3 linked regions of the Caenorhabditis elegans genome follow. The protein of the gene in region 3 purifies or fractionates together with the protein of the main gene of each other region. This does not show direct contact. Each region holds a gene or a part of one and is shown on either strand. Other genes may lie near its edges.

The links. The genes of interacting proteins can lie anywhere in the genome.
Region 1: the proteins of cul-2 (region 3) and rbx-1 purify together in Caenorhabditis elegans (affinity purification with mass spectrometry, with the first as the bait; one study listed by BioGRID). This does not show direct contact.
Region 2: the proteins of cul-2 (region 3) and lrr-1 purify together in Caenorhabditis elegans (affinity purification with mass spectrometry; 3 studies listed by BioGRID, with this or other methods). This does not show direct contact.

What each region holds. Positions count from the first base shown.
Region 1 is NC_003283.11:9,687,663-9,694,229, reverse strand, and holds rbx-1 (RING-box protein 1), read left to right. Parts: upstream 1-3,707; 5' UTR 3,708-3,709; coding exon 3,710-3,784; intron 3,785-3,834; coding exon 3,835-4,041; intron 4,042-4,226; coding exon 4,227-4,277; 3' UTR 4,278-4,544; downstream 4,545-6,567. Other genes in the region: ZK287.7 (RNA_ligase domain-containing protein), read right to left, coding at 85-221, 361-575, 632-1,161; ztf-9 (C2H2-type domain-containing protein), read left to right, coding at 2,094-2,203, 2,253-2,340, 2,399-2,630, 2,679-3,082. UniProt on the Caenorhabditis elegans protein: Component of the SCF (SKP1-CUL1-F-box protein) E3 ubiquitin ligase complex, which mediates the ubiquitination and subsequent proteasomal degradation of target proteins.
Region 2 is NC_003280.10:5,032,119-5,040,190, reverse strand, and holds lrr-1 (PIF1/LRR1 pleckstrin homology domain-containing protein), read left to right. Parts: upstream 1-3,751; 5' UTR 3,752-3,764; coding exon 3,765-3,875; intron 3,876-3,928; coding exon 3,929-4,090; intron 4,091-4,140; coding exon 4,141-4,224; intron 4,225-4,276; coding exon 4,277-4,633; intron 4,634-4,682; coding exon 4,683-4,894; intron 4,895-5,302; coding exon 5,303-5,428; intron 5,429-5,480; coding exon 5,481-5,696; intron 5,697-5,802; coding exon 5,803-5,896; 3' UTR 5,897-6,049; downstream 6,050-8,072. Other genes in the region: golg-2 (Golgin subfamily A conserved domain-containing protein), read left to right, coding at 157-213, 269-460, 507-581, 668-763, 813-1,781, 1,838-2,848, 2,893-3,210, 3,259-3,327; F33G12.3 (DUF1308 domain-containing protein), read left to right, coding at 6,163-6,324, 6,367-6,537, 6,976-7,304, 7,514-7,710, 7,757-7,950, 7,995-8,072.
Region 3 is NC_003281.10:13,684,639-13,694,903, forward strand, and holds cul-2 (Cullin-2), read left to right. Parts: upstream 1-3,012; coding exon 3,013-3,041; intron 3,042-3,092; coding exon 3,093-3,236; intron 3,237-3,978; coding exon 3,979-4,039; intron 4,040-4,173; coding exon 4,174-4,313; intron 4,314-4,475; coding exon 4,476-4,581; intron 4,582-4,803; coding exon 4,804-6,477; intron 6,478-6,971; coding exon of another isoform or gene 6,972-6,977; coding exon 6,978-7,070; intron 7,071-7,330; coding exon 7,331-7,459; downstream 7,460-10,265. Other genes in the region: WD repeat-containing protein dyf-2, read right to left, coding at 1-362, 619-818, 985-1,119, 1,192-1,257, 1,650-1,738, 1,796-1,807; cyn-2 (Peptidyl-prolyl cis-trans isomerase 2), read left to right, coding at 8,094-8,162, 8,446-8,697, 8,856-9,053. UniProt on the Caenorhabditis elegans protein: Core component of multiple cullin-RING-based CBC (Cul2-ElonginB-ElonginC) E3 ubiquitin-protein ligase complexes which mediate the ubiquitination and subsequent proteasomal degradation of target proteins.

The sequences.
Region 1 (6,567 bases), on a different chromosome or scaffold from region 3:
TTTAAGATTTAAAAGTTCAATTCTTATTGTAAGATTGAATAAGATTCAAGTTTTTTTCTTTACAAAATAACTTTGGTGACTTACAATTCTATGCCCCATGTTTCCCGCGCTGATAAGTTCAGGAACTCCATCCACGTCGGCCAAACGTCTCCAGTAGATAGTGTCTCCGAGGATCGGACAAGACATCTGAGTTAGCATCAGTCGTGGGAGATGACGAGCAACTGAAGAAATATAATATTCAATACAAAAATAATATGTATTCAAACATTTGTTATCTAAAAACCCAGCGTCGTCGTACTTTTTAATTTGAAATTAAATATACCAAGATGATTTTTTTCGGAAGATTTTTGGTTAATTTACATTTATTTACTGAAAAGTCGATCAATGAAATTCCATTTTTTGTGTCCAGTACTCGATAGCTCATATGTCCTTCTACAGCGTATTTTCCAGTTTTTGCCCGTTTCGTTGTTTTTCTTTCTTCGAAAATGTACTCTTTGTGCTTTCCGACATTCCGAAACGTGGCAAATCCAGTTATGACTCCACTGCTCTTTTCAGGTCTTCCAATTGTGATTGCTCTGAACTTTAAAATAATAAATACTAAAATTAAACTTTAGAAATTGATAAAACTTACAAGGCATTATACATAAAAGGGGGTTCGACATTTGAAGAAGTGCTTCTGATACATTCTTTCAGAATATTGGAATCCTTTTCATTACATGGAAGAACAATTGCACCAGATAAGTATCGTTTTAAGCCTGTACAGAAACTGAGCTGAGGCTCACGGAGCAACTTTCTCAAATCTTTGATACAATCGGAAATTGTTACTCCCATTTGTTCTTGAGTCCTTGCTTTGATTGTACCAGCCCATTTTTCAGTTTTTCTCTCATCTCGAACACTATTCCCAAATACTCCACCATTTTCTTGAAGTTGTCCAACACATGACAATCCATATGGCTTTTCCAACACTACAAATCGACCTGGAGCGTGAGCCAAAACCTTTTTCGATAGGTATCGAGCCAGCTGATTGGGATTTGAAAACGTGGCAGGAGTCAGAGCTTTCTGAACTTTTGGATTTAGTGGAGCCGGTGCAGACTCCAAAGAAGTTGAAGACGCTGTATTACTTGTGAATCGACATGTCGATATTCGTCGCAGTGTGTTCATTTTTCTCTGAAAAATCTTGATTATTTTTTAATTATCAAAATAAAATATAAACCGAGTCTGTAAAATTATAAGACGAAAGGTTTCAGATAAGCTTTAGAATTTTTTACCAAATTAATTATCAGAAAGCGAGAAATTCTTGCTAGGAAAAAATGGTATCTTAATTTTACAAGATTTTGGCATACTTTCTTAAAGGCGCATGGATTGATTTGGACTGGTCTCGATGCGCAAAAAAGTTTATGGTAGCTTCGGCTGCTTTATCGTTTATTTCCCTTACATTTTCCAATGGAAGTACTCTGTTTAAAGCGAATTTCGTGTTTAAAAAAAATGCATATTCCTTAAGAATTGGTTTTAAATAAGTTTTCTAAACAAAAATTTCAACAAAAAAGAGACTGCCATGCATGGTCATGGTATTTGTACCATCAACTTTTTATCTCAAAATTAATTATTTTTCACAAAAATCTGACTCATATCTGTTCTCTCACGTTTTCATTTTTCCAACAGTTTTTCCCACTTTTCTTCCGCCCATCCCGCTCCTTTTTCTTTTTTTCCTATCGCCACAAAAACACACACACACACACAGCAGAGAGAAAGAGATAGGAAGAAGACGAGTCGTCGCATTTTTGTCCTCTCTCTTTCCCTTTCTCTCTCCGTTTCAATGTAGCGCGAACCGAGCGATGAGAAGAAGAAAAAAGAAGAAAGAGGAGAAGAAAGGAAGGAGAAAGGAGGAAGAGACTGGCCATTGCCCGCCCGGCCTTCTTCTCCTCCTCACACACACAAAACCACCCCCTTCTCTCCATTTTCCTTCCTTCTTCTTCTCACCATTCTTTTCCTTTTTCCACGCGTCTTCAGTTGATTTCGAACACATTTTGTTAACCGTTCGCTTCTAAATCTATATTACTAAATTTGCAGAATATATTTATTACATTCAAAAAATGAACCGACTACTGGGATGTCTAGATTGCGTTCAAACTGAGGCCTACAACACACTGGAAGATCTCGAAGCACACATTGCTAGTGATCATCTTAACATATGCCCATATGAGTAAGTCTTTAACTTTTAATATGTGGTGAACGTAGCTTTACTATTTTAGATGCGAAAAATGTAAGTACGCTAAGTTTCCAACGGAATTCGCCCTTGTCAGTCACTGTATGAATGATCATGGACTCACCGAATTTTCTGTAAGTCTCCAATGTTGAGAGACGCAGAAAAAAAATTCAACAATAATTTAAATTGCAGATAAAATATCGCTACACACCGGAGTTGAGTATGAAAAAGAAGGAACTGACCCAAAAGCTCGAACGGTGCATTGCAATGAGTCGATCTATGCGGATTGAAGGGAAAATCAGCGATGCGGTGTCAAGCACAGTGGAGAACAGAGTCAAAGTCGAAAACTCAGAAGCAACTGGCACACCTATTCAGTCATCTTCTCCTGTTGTCTTCGTAGATAATGCTTATCATGCCTTTCTAGGTAAACTTACACATAATAATGATTCCCACTCATTTGGATTTAATTCAGACGAAACTCTGGCACGTCACGAAGAAGAACGTGGAGCCGGTCCTTCATTCGAGGGAGCATCTGATGGCGGTGGTCCGATCAAGCCGAAGCAACAAATTCAATGTTCTCTTTGTGGAGACGTTGTTTCCAAACAAAGATCAAGCATGGTGTATCATGCAAATACGCGTCACGGAAAATATGAGCTCTACGAGTGCGGAATCTGTCACAGAAAATGGCAGACAATTGCAAAATCTGATGTGATCAAGCACATAAAAAGCCATCACGAGAGACCCGACGGAACCATCGACTGCGACATGGTTATTGACTATCGAAAAAATCTAGGAAACAAGCTGAAAGAAATTACTGAAAAATGTTTTCCGGAGCGAAAGAAAAAGAGAATTGGATACACGGATTTGCCAGAATAAATATCTTGAAACGATTTAAAAGTTGTTTTCTCATCGTCCCAATTGTTAGAATTACTGTTAAAATACTAACTGATACGGTTTATTTTTGTTAAATACAATTTTTCTTTTTAACCTGTTCTTCTTTGTTCGTTTCGGCAAGAAATAAGACGCGACGAGTAAATTTTAAAAAGAAAGCGAAAGCGTGAAGACAGAAAATAGGTGAGTACGGTGTACGCAAATGCGCGTAGCGTCTGGTGTGTGCAGACAAGCGTTTTTGATGATTCTTTCGAAAGAATTTCGGCAGTGTTGCTCAGTCTGATTTCATTTTATTTATTTTACAACAGCGTATCTCCTTTTTCAATACATATTAGCAATAATGTCAAGTCCTTCATGTTTCCTCATTTTCTATCGGCGGCTTTGTACAACAATGTTGTATTAGGTTCGTGAATCACTTGTTCTAGGGTACAATTTTTCATAAAATCTGATACAACAATTTTATCAATCATATCCTCTATTTAGTTTAGGCTTATAGTATTATAGTATGCATAAACATGTTCAATATTAAGTATTTCATTATATCATCAATGCTACTTTTGCGCTCTTATTTTGAAATGATTACTGTTATTCTCATTTGTATTTTTTCCAGAAATGGCCCAAGCAAGCGACAGCACAGCTATGGAGGTCGAGGAGGCCACAAATCAGACAGTTAAGAAGCGTTTCGAGGTAACACAGATACAATGTTACATGCTTTAACAAACATAGTGCAATTTAAGGTCAAGAAATGGAGTGCCGTCGCACTTTGGGCCTGGGACATTCAGGTCGACAACTGCGCTATTTGCCGCAATCACATCATGGATCTGTGCATCGAGTGCCAAGCGAATCAAGCAGCCGGGCTCAAGGATGAGTGTACCGTTGCATGGGGAAACTGTAATCACGCTTTCCACTTCCATTGCATTTCTCGTTGGCTGAAGACACGACAGGTAGGTTGCTTTTAAACGTGCTTATTTTTGAAAAAATGATATTTATTCAAATGTCAAAGCGGAACAGAAGCCTGCCGCATGCATTTTTGTTAAACAACTTTTGAAAATTTAATTTTTTTCAATTACTAAGTACTCGTAACTAGCATTTCAAAAAGCTTACACATTTTCTAATTCTATCTTTTCAGGTATGCCCATTGGACAATCGTGAGTGGGAATTCCAAAAGTACGGACACTAATCGATCTTCATTCTTCTGCCAACCGCCCGGGCAGTTTCTTCACACTTTTTTACTTGTATTCACTGATTTTTCTTCTATTTCCTTTTGTGAATATGTATTCGTCCCAAAAAAAAGCACATTAAAATCCAGACGTGTTAGTCTCTATGTGATCTGACACTTTTCATTTGTTTATTCAAATCTCCAATCCCTTCTGACCTTCTAAAATCATCCTTCCTCGCTTGAATATTTAATTTTTCTCCGCTAAAAATATAAATATGAACTGTGTCCTCTGGTCTCATAATTCTCAACGAGACAATTCTCGTGCCGTTTATGTGCTTAGGCTGTTTAGGTTCAGGTTGCGGGCACCGTTCAAGCCGCCGGAGCAAAAGGAGGAGGTCTCGTCTCGCGTAATTTATTTGCAATTCGGCTAAAACGTTCAAAACCGAATTGCAGCACATTTCTCGCCGCTTCTTCGTATTCCTTTCCGTAATAATTGATTATTACGATTGCTTGTTCGTTTCTGTGCCAAAGTTTTTTTTAAATTTTGGATACTGATTTTTGTAGAGTTCTCTCATTAATATAGACCAAGATAATTTTCTGCTTTTAAAACTGTCTACAAACGTTTATTGTTCAATAATCGACGTTGCTAAATTGCGGATATTCTTAACTTCATGAAAAGTGAAGTATCACTTTAAAGGCGCACACTACTTCTCTTGGCTGGGTCCTGCCACGATTTCAGATACAGTAGTTCCTCCGAATGCCAAATTGCACAAAATTGTTCATACATATTTAGAAGTGTTGAAGTTCACAAAGTAGGGCAAAACTCAATGAAAATTATACACATCGGTTTATTTTTTTTAATATAACTGCCACTCGAAAATTTAATTCCCAATACTTCTAGACTGTTTTTTTTTCATTCTGAAGTAACTTAAAACGTTTCTTTAAAAACGAGGTATATTCAGGCCGCTATTGGGCTTTGGGCTTACTTAAACTATATAGTTTATAATCACCTGATATCTCACCGCGATCACACCGTAACCTACCGTACTCTCCAACTTAGCTACATATTTATATATTTTCTGTTATCATCGAAGTGATCAGATCAAACACCAATAGGTCAAAATTTACACCACGGGGATCAGTTACTGTCTGCGAGAAGATTTAATTGGTTTTGCGAGTTGTAACTCGAGATTCTCATGTCGGAACAAGCAAACCGACTCCCCTACCCAATACAGTGTATGTTTGTTGAACGTGTTCCTCGATCCACTCCCCGATTTGGAAATCCCATTTTTTATATCCGAACCGTCCGAATCTGTATTGTAGTGTGGGAATGTAAGACACAAGGCAGCAGTAGAAAACAAGAGTTTGAGAGAAAAAAGAATAGGTGGAGCTGCAGGTAGACCCGATTTTTATTGAACAACTTTTTGATGGAATCCGCTGAATTTCAATTGAAGCCACTTATCCATTCGTTTTTGTTGCAAAATCTCAGTTTCTTTTTTATTTTCTTTCATTTCCAGGAAGCCAAATTCGATCTGGCAATGATTCAAAGATGATTCTAGTCCTTGGATTTCAATTTTTAGTGAACATTGCTCACTCCTTACAGGTTGGTAAAATATCCTTATTATTTAAAAATCTATTATATCTGCAAAATCGCATATCAAATATCAATTGAGGTGAAATGGAAGATATAAATATTTTCACATTTATGATACTGGATGATTAAAATACCCAACGCTGATCAGCTTGTTAAAACTCGGTGCTCGAATTCTAAAGTTTTTGTCTAAATAGTTAAATCATAAACTTTTGTTGTTGCTATTACTTTCACGCCTCTTGTGAGTCTCTCAATTTTAAAGGAAATTGTTACTTATAAATCGACACAGGCTCTCCTCTTTTGTCTTTAAACATGAGTGAGGCTTGAAGCCTGCTTTTATGACTTTCAAATTTTCAGAGCGCATTGTTTTTTTTAATCACTAACGAAACAACCGGATAAATTCGTTTCAAAACAATTTATTAGGTTTTTAGATTACAAGTTTCAGTTTGTGGCAGATATGTGTTAAAATGTTCGTGTTTCATTCTGCAGAATAGTTTTAAAATTATATCTGCCCAAGAATTTGGTAGTTAAAATAAGAAGTTTCAAGATGAGTTTTAAATTATGAAACATACTGATAAAACAATTATTGCTCTTAGTTCTTTAAATTTTATTTAACCGAAATATTTTTCCGATTGACAAACCCGTCACAACTTCCGCCTACGCTTCTAGAATATCGAATAACTTTGGTCAACTATTCCATGTAAAAGTACATCCACCCCC
Region 2 (8,072 bases), on a different chromosome or scaffold from region 3:
TGCTGCTTTCATTGCGAACTCGCTTTGTTGTCTGCGCTATGTCGTCAATTGCGGTGTTTGCGTCCAACCACTAATTTCCACGTCTTTTTTCATTTTCAGCTTTTAAAATCGATAGATTTTACTGTTTTTCGGCGTAAAGCTGGATTAATCAGTGATATGGTCGATGCCGCTGCACCTGCCAAAGCTGAAATGCTGGCAGCGGCCAGGAAAAAGGTGAGAATCGTGAGGAAACTTTATTAAAACAAAGTTTATAGAGTAAATTTTACAGCTGAAAGACTTTGAAGCACGTCAAAGACTCGATGGACGTAATTCTCCTGCATCAAGTATCATTTCATCAGAGCCGGGTGCTGGAGCAGGTTTAAATGGACGGAGCAGCGTTGTCAGTGAAGATTCGACAGCGCTTCAAATTCCACACTCATCTTCTTCTGCACAAAGTTTGAATGCAAGAAATGGATTGGATGTGAGAAAATCGATAACATCGTTAAATGAGTAAATGTTTTCTTCAGGCTTCACCATTTCAACCGAACGGAAACGAATGGTATCAGGCATATACACAATTGAAGACCCAGCATGACGAATTGGTAAGGATAATGAGAAATTGACAAATACAAAAACTAATTCGTTAATTATATGAATAATGATTTTATTAAAAAAAAAATCATTTTAGTGTGCCCATTACTCCCAACTTCATTCCGCTTATTCACAAGTCAATGCAAATGGAATACATGTGGATACAGAAAATCAAATTGTCCAACTCCAAAATGTAAGGATTACTCGTTTTATTTATTTTAATTTAATGATGGAGTATTCAGGCATTGTCTGCAATGGTTGAAGAGAAAGTTTCGTCTCAAAGTGATCTTCGTCAGGCAAACAAGCAAATCGAAAAACTTCGACACAAGCTGGCTGCTGCAGAGAACATTGCCAACCAAATGAGCAATTCAACATCATCTGGACTTTCGTCAAACGAAATTCGAAAACTCAATGAAGCAATTGCACAAAAAGATTCCCTATTAACTGCACGTCATCAAGAGCTAGAAGGAGCTCGACGAGAAGTTGCATCAATGCAAGCTAACCTGCTAAATGTTCAACACGAGAGAAGTGAAGCACAAGCACGTGTGAAAAGTATGATAAAAGAAACGGCGGCTCAAGAAAATCGCATCAGTCAGCTCATGAAAGACATTCAAATGAAAGATCTTTATTTGAAACAACTTGGAGCCACAGGACCGCCGGGAGGGATTCCGAATGAGAATACGAATTATGAAAACTTGCAACGTGAGCTGGAGAACGTTAAAGCTGAAAAATCACGTCTTCTCGTCGAATCTGCGACATTAAAAGCTCACTATGCTGATCGAGAGTATGCACTTCAACAAAAGCAAGCAGAGATGGCTTTAGAAATCGAGCATTTGCATAATCAAAAATTTTCTTCAAACGATCAAGTTGAACATCTCGAAAATCAACTCGAAATTGCTCAATCTGAACTGCAGAAGCTTCAAATGAATATGGATGTTTCTGAGAGGCATGATGAAATTCCAACTATCACAGAAGAAGATGTAGCAAGACGGATTCGTGAAGCGTGTTTCGTTGAAAGAGGGAAGTGGGAACGAAGAAGTGAGGATGATCAGAAACGCAGAGAAGAAGAAATTCTAGAAAAAGACAAAGTTATTTTCGAAAGAGAACAGTCATTGGCAGAACTTGAAATGAAATATCGACTTTTGGAAGAACGAACGTTAGAGTCAACTGCAAACGGAGCTGATTTGTTGTCTCTTTCAGAGCAACTACAGGTAGATTTACAATTTTCAATATTTTTCCCTGATTTTTCAAATTTTCGAATTTACAGAACGAAAAAGCGACCGTATCCCGCGCAGTGGCACAAAACAAAGAGCTTAAAGAACGTCTCTTGGAAACGGAAGACCGATTTGTTACTCTTACGAAAGAAAAAGCAGATGTCGAGCTTGCAAAACAATCTGCTGAGCATCAAGTACGGGAATTGACAAAGCAGTTGAATTTAGAAACCGCGGGTCTTGTTGGTAATCTGTCAGAAGTAATCGCTCGACAACCTCATCTCGAAGCATCACAAGAATCTGCTGCAAGTCAAGAACAACGTGAAGAATCTCAAGAAATCGTGAAACTCAATGAAGAATTGAAAGAAAATATCTCAACGCTTCAAAGAGAAAATGCAGAAATCAGATCCGATTTAGAGCTGAAAACTCATGAACTTCAACTGGTCCGTGCTGATTTGAGACGAAGTAACACTCATAATGAACAAATGGACGAAATAATGAGGCAAAATGCAGAAGATGAGAATCAGAATTCGATTCACGTTGAGCTCACTCAAGCAGTTGGCAGAGTTCAGGATCTTCATGCCGAAAATGAAGCACTCAGAGAAGCTTTTAATAATTGCCGTCAACAATTGGAAGATGAACGAGCTGATAGAAGAGCAGAGGAAGAACGGAAAGATCTCGAAAGCAAACAGGAACAGCTGGAGTTGAAAGAAACCAAGGTTCCAGAAGAAGCTGAAAATCAGCAGTCTTCTAGAGAGCTTCATGAAGATCTATGGGCACGAAAAGAATTAGAGAAACGATTCGCTCGAGCAATGCTTCAGAATGCTGAACTCGTTGAGACAATTGATCGATTAGAGCACATCAACCAGCAGCTAGAACTCGAAAATGACACAATTGCTGATCACGTTGTTCTCTATCAGCATCAGAGAAAATTGGTTCGTGAAAGGCTTCGTGTAAAAGATGAACAATTGAAGGCTATGGAAGAGGACAGAACGAAAACTGTTGCACGATGCCAAGAACTGCAAAATGTGTTAATGACTGTACTTAACAAAGGTGGAGTATTAAAGGTAATTAATCTATGAAACTGTAATACCTACAAGCTAATTTTTAGGAATACCAGACAAGCTCAATCTCCCGAAAAGCAGCTCGCCGAGTTTCCCGAAGCTATAGCCATTCGACAGTTGATGAAATGAGCGGAGACGAAGATGTTTTGGTGGACGCCAAATTGGAAGAAGTTCCAGAGCGTGAAAAAGTACATGGTAATAGTGATGATGAGAAGATTCCAAGTACTCCACCACCAACTGTGTTGGAAGCTCAAAATAGTCCACGATTATCGGATTGTTCTGCTGACAAAGATAATAGTGATACTTTCGGGCAAACCCAAGATGCATCTGTTAGACGAATTTTGGAAATTATTTCTGATATCAGTGTAAGTAGAATATTCTTTGATTCATCGTTCCCAAATATATCTTTACAGAGACCCCAAATTCTACCCGCTGGACAACTCCACTGTACACAATGCATTGGAGATCTTCAAGAACTCTGAATAAAAATGTGCATAATGACTTTACTGTAAACTTTCTTTTAGCTTATAATGTGGGTACAACTTTTAGCTAATTATTATTCTTTATTGTTTCCAGTCCCCGTTTTTTTTGTAAATTTCGACTCTCCCGCTGACTTATTTAAATTATCGTTTTCATCCCCCAATCACTTCCTGTGTTCATTTGTGATATTTATAAGTGACAATTTTCTATTAATTTTATTGAAGTCCGATTAGTTGGTAAGCAAATGGTAATTATTATTTATTTTTTCGTTAATTATTCTTCTTGGGAATAAATGTAAAAACTTTAAAATGTAACTCTCCCCAGTGCTCTTTTATCGGGTTCAACTTGATTTTCCAGAAACTTATTTTGATTTTCAGAGACTTGCTTTTCAAATACAAAGAAACTACCAATAGTTGCTTATTCCAGATTTCAATAAAAAATGCGATTACCATGTGAAGTGGTTTTTGCACGTTATAAAGCAAATGCCGGAGTTAATCCAAAACCCACGAAATCGCAAAAAGGATTTGTTATTCTGCAAAAACTTCGACAGGTAATTTAAATTTTCATAAGTTAATATGTAACAAAACAAAAAAATATTTCCAGACCCCTCCACAATATCAGATAACAGTGGCCGTGGCCGGTGACAAAACTGGAAATAAATTCGAGCTCAACAAGCCGCCAATTATTCTCGACAAATTTATTGCTCAAGGAAAAACCACTATCACATTTCAAACAACTCCTGCTGTGATGGTTTGCATCAGTAAAGTACGTGTAAAGCATTTTTCAATATAAAAATAATAATTTTTATTGTTCAGGCGAATCCAGAAGCGTTGGCACAACTGATAGAAGCCATCAGAAAAATTGTCAAAGGAGAAAATGTGGATATTGAGAAAGTGAAGGTATTAAGCTTGACGGTGGAATTGAAAGAATTAAAATAAAATACTATTTCAGGTAAAAAGTTCCGACTTCAAACCAACTACCATCACGGTCAACAATCAGGCAACGTACAAAAAGCAAATGCAATCATGCTCCGAATTCCTGAAAACACTAAAAATTGAGCCTATCGATTTACGGAGACCTGATAAAGCCTGGAGATTCTGCCATAATCTCACCAGATTAACACTCAATGGAAATCCAATTGGAGCTCATAATAGAGATCTTGACGTGTTTAGCAAGCTGAAGCAATTACAGTCACTCGAGATGAGAAGCTGTTCCCTGGAGTTGATTCCTGTTCCAGCAATGTGTACGATGTTCCGAGAACTACCGACTTCTATCTCATTACTGGATTTTGGAGATAATCATCTTTCAGTACGGCTCCGAAAATAATTATTTTATAATCTTCAAATTTATATTTCAGATTTTCCCTCCAATCTTCCATCTGAAACAGCTCAAGATTATTAATGCTGCTCATAACGCAATAAAATATCTTCCATCACGTATTGGAGTTCTACAGAATCTAAATACAATAGATGTTAGCAACAATCTTATGACAGCTTTACCTTATGTATTCTCAAAAATTCCAAGTATCGAACATGTGGGAATTAATGCCAATGATCAAATGGTTAGATTGTGAGTTTTTTAATTTTTGTTGGAAATATTTAATTTTTAATGTTCAAGCTGCAAAATCGGACTTATGATTTTCCAAGTAAGAACAATTAAATTTTTCAATTAAAATTGTTTACCAAAAAACTGCAAAATATATTTTAAACACACTATTTTGCATATAAAGTCCCGAAAAAGTTTCGGCAATCGGCAAGTTTGACAATTAGCTAATTAGCCAAAATAAAAATTTCCGAAAAAATTTGTAACAATTAAAAAAAACAACTATATTTTTAGTAAATTGCAAAAAAAATTCATGTTTTAACGAAAAGAATAAAAAAATTTTAAATAGGTGAAATTCCAACAGAATAAAAACTAAAAAAAAATAATTAAAATCGACAAGTCGATGCAGCCTATTGCAACCGATTTTTATTTTAGAGAAGAAGAAATTGGACCAATTTTCATACGTCGCCTGCTTACAAAAGTTGATAATATCGAATACACACACGAGGGAGGTGTCGACAAATTGGGCACAATTGCTGCGAATGCTATTCATCGAGAAGAGTACGAGAAATTAAAACTTTAAGAAAAAAATCTTAAATTGAATTCATTTCAGATGCTCAAAATCGATGAAATTTGGACGTCAATTCCTTCCACTCTCACTTCGTTTCGATATGGATGATCTGATGTTTGAAAAACCAGGAATATCATCTCTCGAATTGTGTACAGGATGTGTCAGACTTCGGCATATTCGATATATTCGACCACTTATTATACAATCCAGACAAATTGCTAATTCTGTCGACGTGATCGGAAGATTTGTCACATTTGAGTTAGTTTTTTTTTTCAAAAAATTAAATTTAAAAAAGTTGACAAGTGGTTTTAATCATTTGTCCAAATAAATTTTTCAAAAATGTAATAAGTTTAATTAATTGCAGCCGTCTTCTCTGTATCGACTGTTACCGGAGAACAACTTCAACAAACAATGGAGAACCGCCGTTCCAATGTGATTACTTCCAATTTGCAGTCTAATTTTTCATTATTATCTCACCTTACTCATTTTTAAATATGTAAAAATTAACCCGATCTCAGAATGGGTAAAAAATTGTCCGATGCCTTAAATTTCGAATCTCTCACTTTTGAATCTTGAATCTCACCTTAAGAATAAAAGTTTCCAAGCCTTTTTCTGCTTTTAATTGTTCAATTTAATATTCTAATACTGTTATGTTCGCGAATTTCATATATCTTTTATTCACAAAGTTTTTTTTTCTCAATTTCTGAATTAATTCAGACAAAAAATGCATGGAGTCGACGAAGATGATTTGGAGAGGCAGCGAATCGAAAAAATCAAAGAAGTTCAAGAAGCAGTCGCCAAGTTGACGGGCGCCAAATTCCAAAAATTGGAGAATTTGCAACGAATGGAACGAATGCTTAACAAGGAAATTGAACTACTTCAAAATGTATTTTATAGATTTTATGATTTTTAAATTAAGAATTTTCAGGCTACACGAAAAGCTCTAGAAACTCATTTGGTCACATGTAACTACGCATTCTACAAATCAATAATCGATGAAGTTGAGGAAATGGAAAATGCGACGGCCGTACTGAAAACGTTCAAACGGGATAATGTATCGGTTACTGTAGATATTGTGATGAAAGAACCGAATGTTTGGGTTAGTATTATACAAATCCGAGTTTTTGCCATTTTTCACCTAAAATTTGGTGCCCGGTCTCGACACGACAGTTTTTCGTATAAAACAAACAGGTGTGCGCTTTCAAAGAGTACTGTAATTTTTAATAAAACGAATTTTCGTCACTGTGAAATTTTTATCGATTTGTAATAGTTTTTCTCACAATTTGTATTAAAATTGTGTATTTTAATTGTTTTGTTTCAGTTCCTGAATTAAAAACAATATTTTTTACGAGAAACTGAAAAGTTTGAAATTACAGTACTCTTTTAAAGGCGCATACGCTTTAGCATTTCTCAAATATTTATCGCGTCGAGACCAGACACCGTATTTTTTGAACAAAAATCGCAAAGAAATCCGCATTTGGGTTATTATTAAACTCTTTTCATATATTTTCAAATAAAATTTTAATTTTTCTTTCAGATAAAACTTGTGAATCGCCCCGCCAAAACCGTTCTCATCGAATATCGAGACGGAAAACGAAATGGCGACGTTATTGCACAAATAAAGCAACATCTTTTCGTATCACGCCGTTTCAATCGACCACAAATACGAATTTACTTCAGAAATGGAGTTCTAGCAGAGATGGCCCAAAAACTCATTCGTCATGGAATTGTTGTTATTGGAGAGCACGTCGATAAATCAGATCCTAGTTTACGTGGAAAATGGAACGAAGAATTAATTGAACGGCTTGGAGAAGAGGAAGATTCTGACTGGGATGAAGTTGATGAAGATGCTGCTTCTATTCCAACGTAAGTTTAAATAGGTTTTGATGAAATAAGAAGCAAAACATTTTGCCGCCAGCAGGGGTCGAACCTGCGACCTTGGGCTTATTAGACCCACGCTCTAACCGACTGAGCTATGGCGGCCATGTTTTCTGTCCCGTTGAAAGGCAAACACGTTCTTGCGTCTCCCCATCTCTCTCTCTCTCTTTTCCCGTACTACAATAACTCTATTGCAGGCTACCCTCCTCACAATCGCAGTCAGAGTCAACACTGCCACGCTTAAATCTTGATATTTCGGCTGTGATGTTGTTAGTTTCGAACATGTGTGAACCTGGTGGTGTGAATTATCAATTCAAAGAGGAAATGATCAATAAGCATGTGGAATGTGAACGATTGAAACCTGCGAAGGCTGAAGTGCTGGAAAAATTGAAAGGTTTTGGATTGCAATTTTTGTCAAAAATAATATTATCAATGTTCAGGACATCATCTGATTATGTGTGAGCTTGCCTATAGAAGAGTAGCAGAAATCGTAAAAAATGTCGGCGGGCCTACGGAGAAGAAGCGATTCGAAGAGCTAAGCAAGACGATTGAGCGTGTTCAGGATCAACCATCAGATGAAATTGGAAGAGTTGTCAAATTACGAAATATCAAAGGAATAACGTCAATTACAAAGGTTTTGAAAAAACTTTATTCAATATTTAATTCATATATTTTCAGAGAGTCTTCTCATGCGCGGAAGTTACCAAAACGACTACTGTAACTGCCAATCAAAAGTTTTTGACACATTCTAGGGCT
Region 3 (10,265 bases):
CGAGGTGCTAACAGCAATAGAAGCCAGATATCCACGATATTCGAGGAAACTGACTAGCTCCGAGCCGATTTCGTTGTTATGTGCCGAAATCGATATTATATAGCCACGGTCAAAGCCGATGAGTATATAACCGTCGTTAAACCACCTATAGGAGTGAATATTTCCATATTTCTCCTGAAACTGAAGATTCACGGGTTCGTCGAGAGCATTGTAATGCGCGAGCATCAGAATCTTCTTCCCTATAACCACGCTGACCATCGTGACACCGCTTCCACCTTTTCCATTCACGGAACCATAATCCATATTTGTGGGCTCTCCGTTTGTCGTCGTTGTGCTCACTGTGGTGCCCTCCAGTGTGGTTACTACAAATTTAGGTATTACTTGTATCAATTTTTAATGCCACGTTTTTTCGAGAGTTGGTTTTCATCTTAATATTGTTCTCTTGAAATAAATATAAAATTGAGGTCAAATTTATTTGGAAAGTTAAAACCTCTTGCAATAATACCCAGTAAATCGGAGGAACTATATTTTCATTCAATTCATTTCTCTGGGTTGACTGTTTTCAATTTTTTTCCAAAACATGATTTTCGAATATAATTTGAACGGAAATATTCTAACCTGAAAGTGTATTATCGTCACTACAAGAAATTACATAATCCTCCGGGGTTACTGTAATCTGTGTGACACTTCGTTGATGTTTTCCCATCACGGCTATCCGCCGAGACGTTCGATGATTGTAGACGACGATATTTCCTGCGTTGTTGCCGATTACCAGTGTAGGAGTACTTGGGGACCATGCAAGACATGTTGGGAGCTCTCTGGAATGAAGCAAGTTTTGGTGTATCACTTTTTAAATCTGAAGTACGTAGAAATACAACGAAAAATCTGTAATCTTTTGAAAACTCCAAAAAATCTCACAGTTTCAAAATTTTGAAATAATATTTTGTAACCGTATTTAGAAAATGCCCCCGTTTTTCAACTCACTTTGAAGAGGTCGCTCCACTCTCAACAGTATCTGTATTCCGCGAGTTCACATCCCATAGATAAATAGTCCCGGTATTTGCTACGGCAATCGCTAGTACATCACCTTCCTTATCCCAAGCTATGTCGATAAGTTTTCTGGAAGTTGAAAAAAGTGTAAATCACGAAAATCTTCTTTTTTCTTTACATTTCAAAAAACTCTGAACTCACCCAGTTGGATTCAACGCGTCAATAACATTTCCTTTCTTATCGTAATAGATGACCGTGTTATTGGCGCTGAAAAGTATAATTTATTGCTTGGAAAAGCTCAGCTTTAAAATGCATTTAAAAAGCTTCAAATTCAGAAATTCCAGAACCGATAATAATAAATTGAGAAATAATGATGAAAATTCAAATTTTCAAAAATCTGAACAATCAGCGATTGGCTCCACCCATTTTCAAACCAATCAAGGTCTTTGCAAACGCATTGGTCATGAAGCTCCCATTTTGGAAAAAAAATCAAACAGGACAATTAGCCAAAATTGAAAATCCTACTTCTAAAAGTTGGCTTTAAATTCTTTCTCGATTTTTTTCGTCTTTTTTGGAGTTTTTGAATTTTGAATATTTTAAAGAAAAATCTTTAAAAAAGATACTGTTAAAAATAAGAATTAAACAAAAAATAAACAAACCATGCAACAGCTACAGTATGCCCATTTGGTCTCCATCGATGAATAATCGGTCCACTTCCGTGCTCTTCTTCGCCTCTTCGATATTGAAGCTGAGCAGAAACACATTTAAATACTTCCTGATTTTTTGTGAGAGTACACGGAATTACCTTTAATGACATTTATATGAATGAAGATCTCCGTTGTTTTCGACGTTTGCCACTGCTCCCCTATGATTTGTCACTTATGTCACGAGCCTACAAATAATGGTTACAAAAAATGAAGTACAAATCATTGAGCTACCCGAGCCTTTGGGGAGTTGTTGCCTTGGTAACCGGGCTACACAGTGTGTGTTGAGCACGCAAATTGAGGAAAGAACAGGGGAAGTGGAAGAGGGGATTTGATCATTCCCGGTTTGGGAATAATGACAATTAGTAGAATTTTCTGGATTCTCGAGAAAAAAAAACAAACCGCAATTTCATCTTTTTATGTGAATATCGAACAAAAATATTTGATAAAATTATTCATTTACACATCTGGGGCAAATACATTTGTAATGGGAGAGCATTACGGGTACACTAAATTTTGAGAAGTATCTCATAGCGAAAACTACAGTAGTTTTTTTAATTAGTACTGTAGCACTGCTCCGATTTTATTTTGGTTTTTGGCCATTTATTCCAAGTTTAGCCAAAAAATGCACAAAAATGCCAAAAGGGTATTCTTTTTTTTAATTTTTCAATATTAAAATTTTTAGAGAAAACTTTATAATCAAATTCCAAAACGACTCCACCTTTAATAACTTCAAATATTAATTTAATTTTAAATTTTAGACTTCAGAAAATTATTCTTAATTTTTGTTCTAAACAGATTTCCTTTTTAAAATCCTCCTTTTCTCACATGTCACATTTTTCATTGTCATTGCCAACTTCTAACATATGACGTTCAATATATTTTTAACGTTTGTTATCTCTTTTCAATATATCTTCTCTAAAAATCAAATTTCAGCTTCTCCACCATATCCCCGAAAATCTTCAGTGTAACCTCCACAGGAAACCGGTCCGAGGTTCACCGTCCACAGGCAAAACTGGCGTCGAATACACAGCCGACATCGAATCGTACGACACTTGGCCGCCGTAAGGCAATTTCTGACGACAATTTTCCCGTCGTTGAGCCGATATTGAAGAAAATGTGAGTGCGTCTGCTGCGCATCGATCGATATTATTTGGTTTATGACCCCTGGTTTCTCATTTTTCGGTTTGAATATTAAATAATTGAACGAATTAAAAAAAGAAAGAATAATTAAAATCACGTGATTCTTTTTATCAATTAAATTTTCGTGTTTAGTTTTTTAATCCGCATTTCAAAAATTTTCGCTTTTTCCGTAAAAATGGCAAGTTCCACAAAAGTTTCCTTACGGTACCCGTTATTTTTTTTTGAAAATTTCGCACAAATTGTCATCATTTTCAGTCGTCCACCTCGTCCACAGGTTATGTACTCACTGAAGCCAAAAGTTGTGGAATTTGACAAAGTATGGGTGCAGTTGAGACCATCTATCATTGATATCATCAATTTGCGGCCGATCACCAATGTTCAGTGGCATCACAAGTTTAGGTAAGTTTTGAAGGAAAAGTTTGATTTTTTCCAGTGATAGAAATTTCAGAAAGTATCATTTCTGTCATTCAACAGATTTTTCGAATTTTTAATTTGAAAAAAAAGATTTTTTGGGATTTTTTGTTCAAAAATGTCTTGATTTTTGGCCAATATCTAAAGTTTTTGTGCAAAAACTATTTATATATAAGGCAAAAATTACCTTTTTGTTATTAATCCGATTTTGTAAAAATGTTATGTTTTAAAAAATCAATTTTTGAAGTTATTTTCAGCAATCGCGTTGTTTGTAAGCAACAATCCTAAATTCGATTTTTGACAGAGAAAAAAAGTTTTTCGAGGATTTTGTCCACAAAATCCGAAAATTTTTTGACAAAACTATTTTTTTTTATTTCACGTGTATAATTCACTGAAAAACTCAATCATTATTCCAAGAATTGTAAAAAATTGCTCCAAAACACTAACATTCACTTATTTTCCGATTAATTCAGGATTATCCGAAAAATCGATTTAAAAAAACATTGTTGCAAAATCGGATTGATGATCTTATAACCTCTTAAACATACTTTTTAAAACCATTTTGGTAGTATTTTTTGAACAAAATCCATTTCTGGGAAAAAAACATGAGAATTTTTGAAAAAAAAAAAGATTTTTGTACTTTCCAAAGAAAAATGTCAAGAATCACAACTTTACGATACGAAAAGCTGGATTTTTATAAATTTTTAATTTTTTTAAATATTGTTTTCAGTGACGTCTACGACATTTGTGTATCGATACCGACTCCATTGAGCGAGCGATTGTATAATGAGGTATCTCGAATTTGACGTTTTCGACGAAAACCGAAAAAAAAAATTAAAATTCTACTTTTTTCTTCGGATTCTACTATAAAAAAGGATTTTCTAGCGAATTTGGTGATGAGACTACAAGATTTCCATTTTTACAGGTGAAGGCTTGCATTCAAGAGCATGTTCGACAAAAGCGTCAAGATATCGTCGATGTTGATCCGGATCTGTTGCTTCAGGAATATCACAAAATGTGGAGAGTTTTCCATGAGGGAGCCATCTTTATTCACCGTCTCTTTGGGTTCGTGTGAAATTTCTTCGGAATTCTTTTTAAAATTCAAACAATGATCTGAAAATGCTCCAAAATGCATTTTTGTGAAACGTTTTCACTGCGTCGTTGTAGAAGAAAAAGAATTGAAAAATACCCAAAAAAAAGAGAATTAAAAAAAAACATTATTTACAGATACCTGAACAAACAATTCGTAAAACAGAAGCGATGCACCGATTTGGACAATTTCGCGCAGTACGCCGCTTTTCTGCAGATTCCAGACGTCAAGGAGATCGGATGTGTGAGTTTGCGACAAAAAAATTGCGCCAGGTTTTTAGAAATTTCTTTATGTTTTCGACGAAAAAGTGGGTGGAAATAAAATCCTAGGCCACGGAGATGACTTCCGTGGCCGATGATTATCAGTTAAGACCACAGTGCGCTTTTTCAAAATTTTGTGTTCCTGGAAAATAACTATTAAATAATTGAGAAGTTTTGAACCAAAAAAACAAATCGAAATTTTCAGCTCGCACTAGAAATCTGGAAAGAAGACCTCGTGAAGACCATTCTCCCGCAGCTCGTCAAACTTCTGCTCATCGCGATTGACAATGATCGGAAAGGAAACTTCCCGCATATCGCCAATGAAGTCTCCGGCGTCATTAACAGCTTCGTTAAGATGGAGGAGACGGATTTCGACGTTGTACCGGCAGAAGGAGCACGCTATAAGGCTCGCGAGTCGACAACGGCGTTCTATCAGGAGAGCTTTGAGAAACCGCTTCTTACGGATACGGAACAGTACTATTCGGCGCTCGCACAAAAAATGCTCACCGACCTCAGCTGCAGTGAGTACATGGAACAGGTTATAGTGCTCCTCGAACAAGAAGAGATGCGTGCGAAGAAGTATCTCCACGAATCGTCGGTGGAGAAAGTTATCACGTTGTGCCAGAAAGTTATGATAAAAGCTCACAAGGATAAACTTCACGCAGTGTGCCATGATCTCATTACTAATGAGGAGAACAAGGACCTCCGCAACATGTACAGACTGTTGAAGCCCATTCAAGCGGGACTCTCGGTAATGGTTAAGGAGTTCGAGGAATATGTGAAGAAGAAGGGGCTCGAGGCGGTGTCGAGGCTCACCGGCGAGAATGTACCCCAGCAATTTGTGGAGAATGTGTTACGGGTGTATAACAAGTTCAATGATATGAAGACTGCTGTGTTCATGGACGATGGCGAGTTCTCTAGTGGACTCGACAAGGCGTTGCAGGGAGTCGTGAACTCGAAGGAGCCAGGACAGTCGGTGCCGAAGGCCAGTGAGCGGTTGGCGAGATATACGGATGGGTTGCTCAAAAAGTCCACGAAAGGACTATCGGAGACGGATTTGGAGGCGAAACTCGACAGTGCAATTGTGATTTTCCGCTATATAGAGGATAAGGATATATTCCAGAAGTTCTACTCGAAAATGCTCGCAAATCGGCTTATAGCAAGCACATCGATATCGATGGACGCCGAGGAGCTGATGATTAACAAGTTGAAACAGGCGTGTGGTTATGAATTCACCAGTAAACTGTCACGAATGTTCACCGATATCGGGCTTAGCCAGGAGCTATCGAACAACTTTGATAAGCACATTGCGGACATTAAAACTGTGCAGCCCGACGTGAAGTTTGTGCCGACACAGACGATGATTCTGCAGGCAGGTAGCTGGCCGCTCAACGCTCCACAGCTCTCTACGAATTCGAATAATCAGACCGCACAAGACGTGGCCAACTTCCATCTGCCACGTATCCTGCAGCCTGTGATTCAGGAGTTTGAGAAGTTCTACACTGGGAAGCACAACGGGCGAAAACTGACATGGCTTTTCAATATGTCACAGGGAGATGTCAGGCTTACATACCTCGATAAGCAGTATGTCGCACAGATGTATGTCTATCAGATGGCAGCGCTGCTTTGCTTTGAACGTCGCGATGCTATCCTCGTTAAGGACATCGGAGAGGAGATTGGTGTGAGCGGTGACTATCTGCTAAAGACGATTCGAACGATTTTGGACGTTACCCTGCTGACGTGTGATGATCAGAATCTAACGGCCGACTCGTTGGTTCGTCTGAACATGTCGATGACGTCGAAACGGATGAAGTTCCGGCTTCAGGCGCCACAAGTGAATAAGGCTGTCGAGAAGGAGCAGGAGGCCGTCGCGAATACTGTAGGGTTTTCAGTTTGTTTTTCATTGGCGAGGGCCTCAAGTTATGACTTTTTGAGTTCAAGCACTAAAAATCTGTATTTTATTTAGTCCTAGACTTTAAAAATTTTTAAACGATCTCAAAAACCAAGTTTTAAAATGAGACACCTTGAAAAATTCTCAGCATTTTTATGACGGTGGAAATTAAAACAAGCCAAGCTCAACTAAAATCTCAAATGCTGAAAAATCTTTAATAAAGAGTTTAGGTGTTTTTTCGAAATTTTAAACCTTCGTAAAATTTTTTTAAATGTCTCACTATGAAATTTGGTCTTTTGTGGAAACTTTGAGTCAATTCAATCAATTAAACAATTTATCTGCTCCCTTTTTGAGCCAATGAGCCTAAATCAAAGCTATAAACTGTGGCCTAGAATTCTGAGAGACTAGACGTATTTAGTTAGGCCCCGCCTCGATGCAGCTAGATTATCCAAACACGTGTGCCTCGCAATCGTCAATATTAGTTCCAGGTTTCACAAGACCGAAAGTACTATATGGAGTGCGCAATTGTCAGAATTATGAAGACCAGGAAGGTTCTGAAACACAATGCACTTGTCACTGAGGTTTGTTAGATTTTTGTTGTTGGTCAAAACCCTGTAAAACGAGATATTCAACCGACTGAAAATGCTTTACAAAAATATTTTTGTTTGAATTTTGAACCAAGAAACTGAAAATCAAAAAGTGGATTTTCCTCCAAAAAAGAAAAACAAACAATTTTAGAAACAGTTTTTGGTCCGGAACCCCCCAAAAAAAAGCGAAAAAAATCTTTTTGCAAAATGTGCTATTCCACATCAAAAATGCGGAAAACAACATTTTCTTGCAGATAATGGACCAAACGAAAGGCCGCTTCTCGCCCGACGTACCATTCATCAAAAAGAGCATTGAGGACCTTATCGAGAAAATGTATATTCAGCGAACCGATCAAAATGACGAGTATCAATATTTGGCCTAATTCTCTCCCCCTATTTGCGTGTTTTTTCCCTGAGAGGCAAAAAACTAAAATTTAAAATTTACACTGTGTAAATGACTCTGAAACATGCCATTCAAAATCCCCACTATAATTTTATTTTTCAAGATTTTCTAACAATGATTGCTTTTTTTCCAAATTGAACTGTACTGAAAGTAAATCCCCTCGCCCCTCATCTTACATATTTTATATCATTTTTTGCTGGAGCTGCGCAACGGGGAATCATCAAACTGTTTATTGGAATACCTATTTTTATACTTTTGGAGCCCTCAAAAACTGAAAATCGCGGGAAATTCTCTGTTACTCCCGACAAACGGCTATTTGCCTATAAAACCAACCAGTCCGTAGCCTCTCCTTGAAAATGTATATGTACTATATTTGTCTTTTTTTTGTGTTCTATCCTCCCTCCTCAAGCAACTATTTTTTCTCCGGAATCTCTATGATTACGATAAAGTAGACAATTATCCTTCCCAAAATTCCAATTTTGTTTCATTTAAATTTTCACGTTTTTGAACTTGAACTTTGATCCACGACACTCTTACGGCACGTGGCAAGTCATAATGGAAAATTTGAACGTCGGTAGTTTTAAATTTATTACTGCGAAAAGAATCGATCAGCGATGCCACGTGTCAAAGTGTTCTTCGATATCACGATTGGCGGAAAGAAGGGAGGACGCATCGTTATGGAGGTAAGGGGGGCAGCGTTAGGTTCTCGGAGCAAATATGATTACTGTAGGCGCTAGTGGTATGTCAGTTTGCACTTTAATGAGTATAAATTGAGAAAATCGATATAATTTTTTGTTGCCATTTATCGATTTTTGTCGTTCTGTTATCGGTTTTTAGGATGATTGTAAAATCTTTTTCAATGGTCTTGCAGAAATTTGCCAGTTTTTCGACTTTTCAGGAAGTTACTAGATTTTGGCAACATTTAAAAATCAATAAACTAAAGATTTTTAAAACCTGTCGTTGCAGCTCTACAACGACATCGTGCCGAAGACAGCGGAAAACTTCCGCGCTCTGTGCACCGGCGAGAAAGGAAAAGGGAAATCGGGCAAGAAGTTGCACTTTAAAGGATCCAAATTTCATCGCATCATCCCCGAGTTTATGATCCAGGGCGGCGATTTTACGGAGGGAAACGGCACCGGCGGAGAATCGATTCATGGCGAGAAGTTTGACGACGAGAACTTCAAGGAGAAGCATACCGGACCCGGAGTCTTGTCGATGGTGAAGATTCTGAAAAACTAAAAAATCGATATTATATTTACTCAAGTTATCGATTTTTCTGTTATTGTCGATATTTGATCAAATTTTCTTTGAAATTTTTGTGAATATCGGGCTTTCTGAAATTTTATGCGCTCTGGAATTGACTATTGATTTTTCAGGCAAACTGTGGGGCGAACACAAACGGCTCGCAATTCTTCCTGTGCACAGTCAAAACCACGTGGCTAGACGGAAAACACGTGGTTTTCGGCAAAGTGATCGAAGGAATGGATGTGGTGAAGGCGATCGAGTCGAAAGGATCCGAAGATGGGGCACCGTCGGCTCCGTGCGTCATTGCTGACTGCGGAGAAATGAAGTGATGCTTCTCGAAGAACAACACTGGAGAATTCGTCTTTTTATTGGATAAATATGATTTTTATTCATTTTTTTAACAAAGCATAGTTTTTGATACGTGAATTCGAAAGACAATGATTCGTGAAGTTTTTAATCGTATTTACAGTGGGGGGACCACTTTATATCTCTAAAGTTTATTAGAATTTTAAATATTATGTCTCAGCCTCAAAAGCTTTGTGATTTTATGGCAAACAAACTCCGGGGATGCAAGTTTGTGGAATTTTGACGGAGTCCCTCATACAAGGCTGCCGCGTGGATTTTTAGAGGGCTCTTTCAATTTTGAAGTCAAACTTTCACGTTTTCAGCAAACTCTAGTTTTATATCAATATATTTACTTCCACAAATCAGAGGCCCCCGAACTAACTTTCCATGAAGTCTCTTTGCTGAAATGTCAGTCGTTTTTTTGTTGCGTGAATTTTCTAGAAATTGCCCAGCCGCCTACACGAATTCCGTCAGAGATATAAAAGTAACAAAAAAAAGTTGAAAACCGCGTGGTGACGTATGTACAGTTCTCTCTGGATGCCTACGTCTCTTATCATCACCACCGCTATTTTCGGTCAAAAACTGAGAGGGAGAGAAAAAGAGAGGCAGATGGTCAATAAGAGACGCAGAGAAAGAGCAGTGATGACTCCCCCAATCAAGAGTGCTTACTGACTTTTTCCCCATAGTTTTATATAGCACTGTTTTTTCTTGCATTTCTTTCATTTTTGAGTAAATTGATTTGTAGCAAAAATACTTTGAAAATCGATAAAAATAAGCTTTAAAAAAATTTTACAGACGTTTTTCCTGTAAATAAACTTCGCCAGTGTCTTGGCTTTTCAAGAACCAATATAAATATGGACGAGTTCTTTTCTTATCTCTAACTGAGTGAATTGTAAAAAGGTATCGTTAGCAAGCTTTTTTTAAATCTGAAAACAGGCTCCGCTCAAATCTGCGGTACTATTACGAGAACAATAAATCATGAGAATGCGTACGTGGAGCATTTTATTTTTTTATATCGATATCACTTAGCGAAAACTACAGTAAGAACTCAAATAACTATTGTTATTTAAGTTCTTACTGTAGTCTTCGCTAAGAGATATGACAAATAAAATGCTCCACATACGCATTCTCATGATTTATTGTTCCCGTAATAACTGTATACAGCAAATCCTGTGTTTTTCTCAAAATAGGCTGCT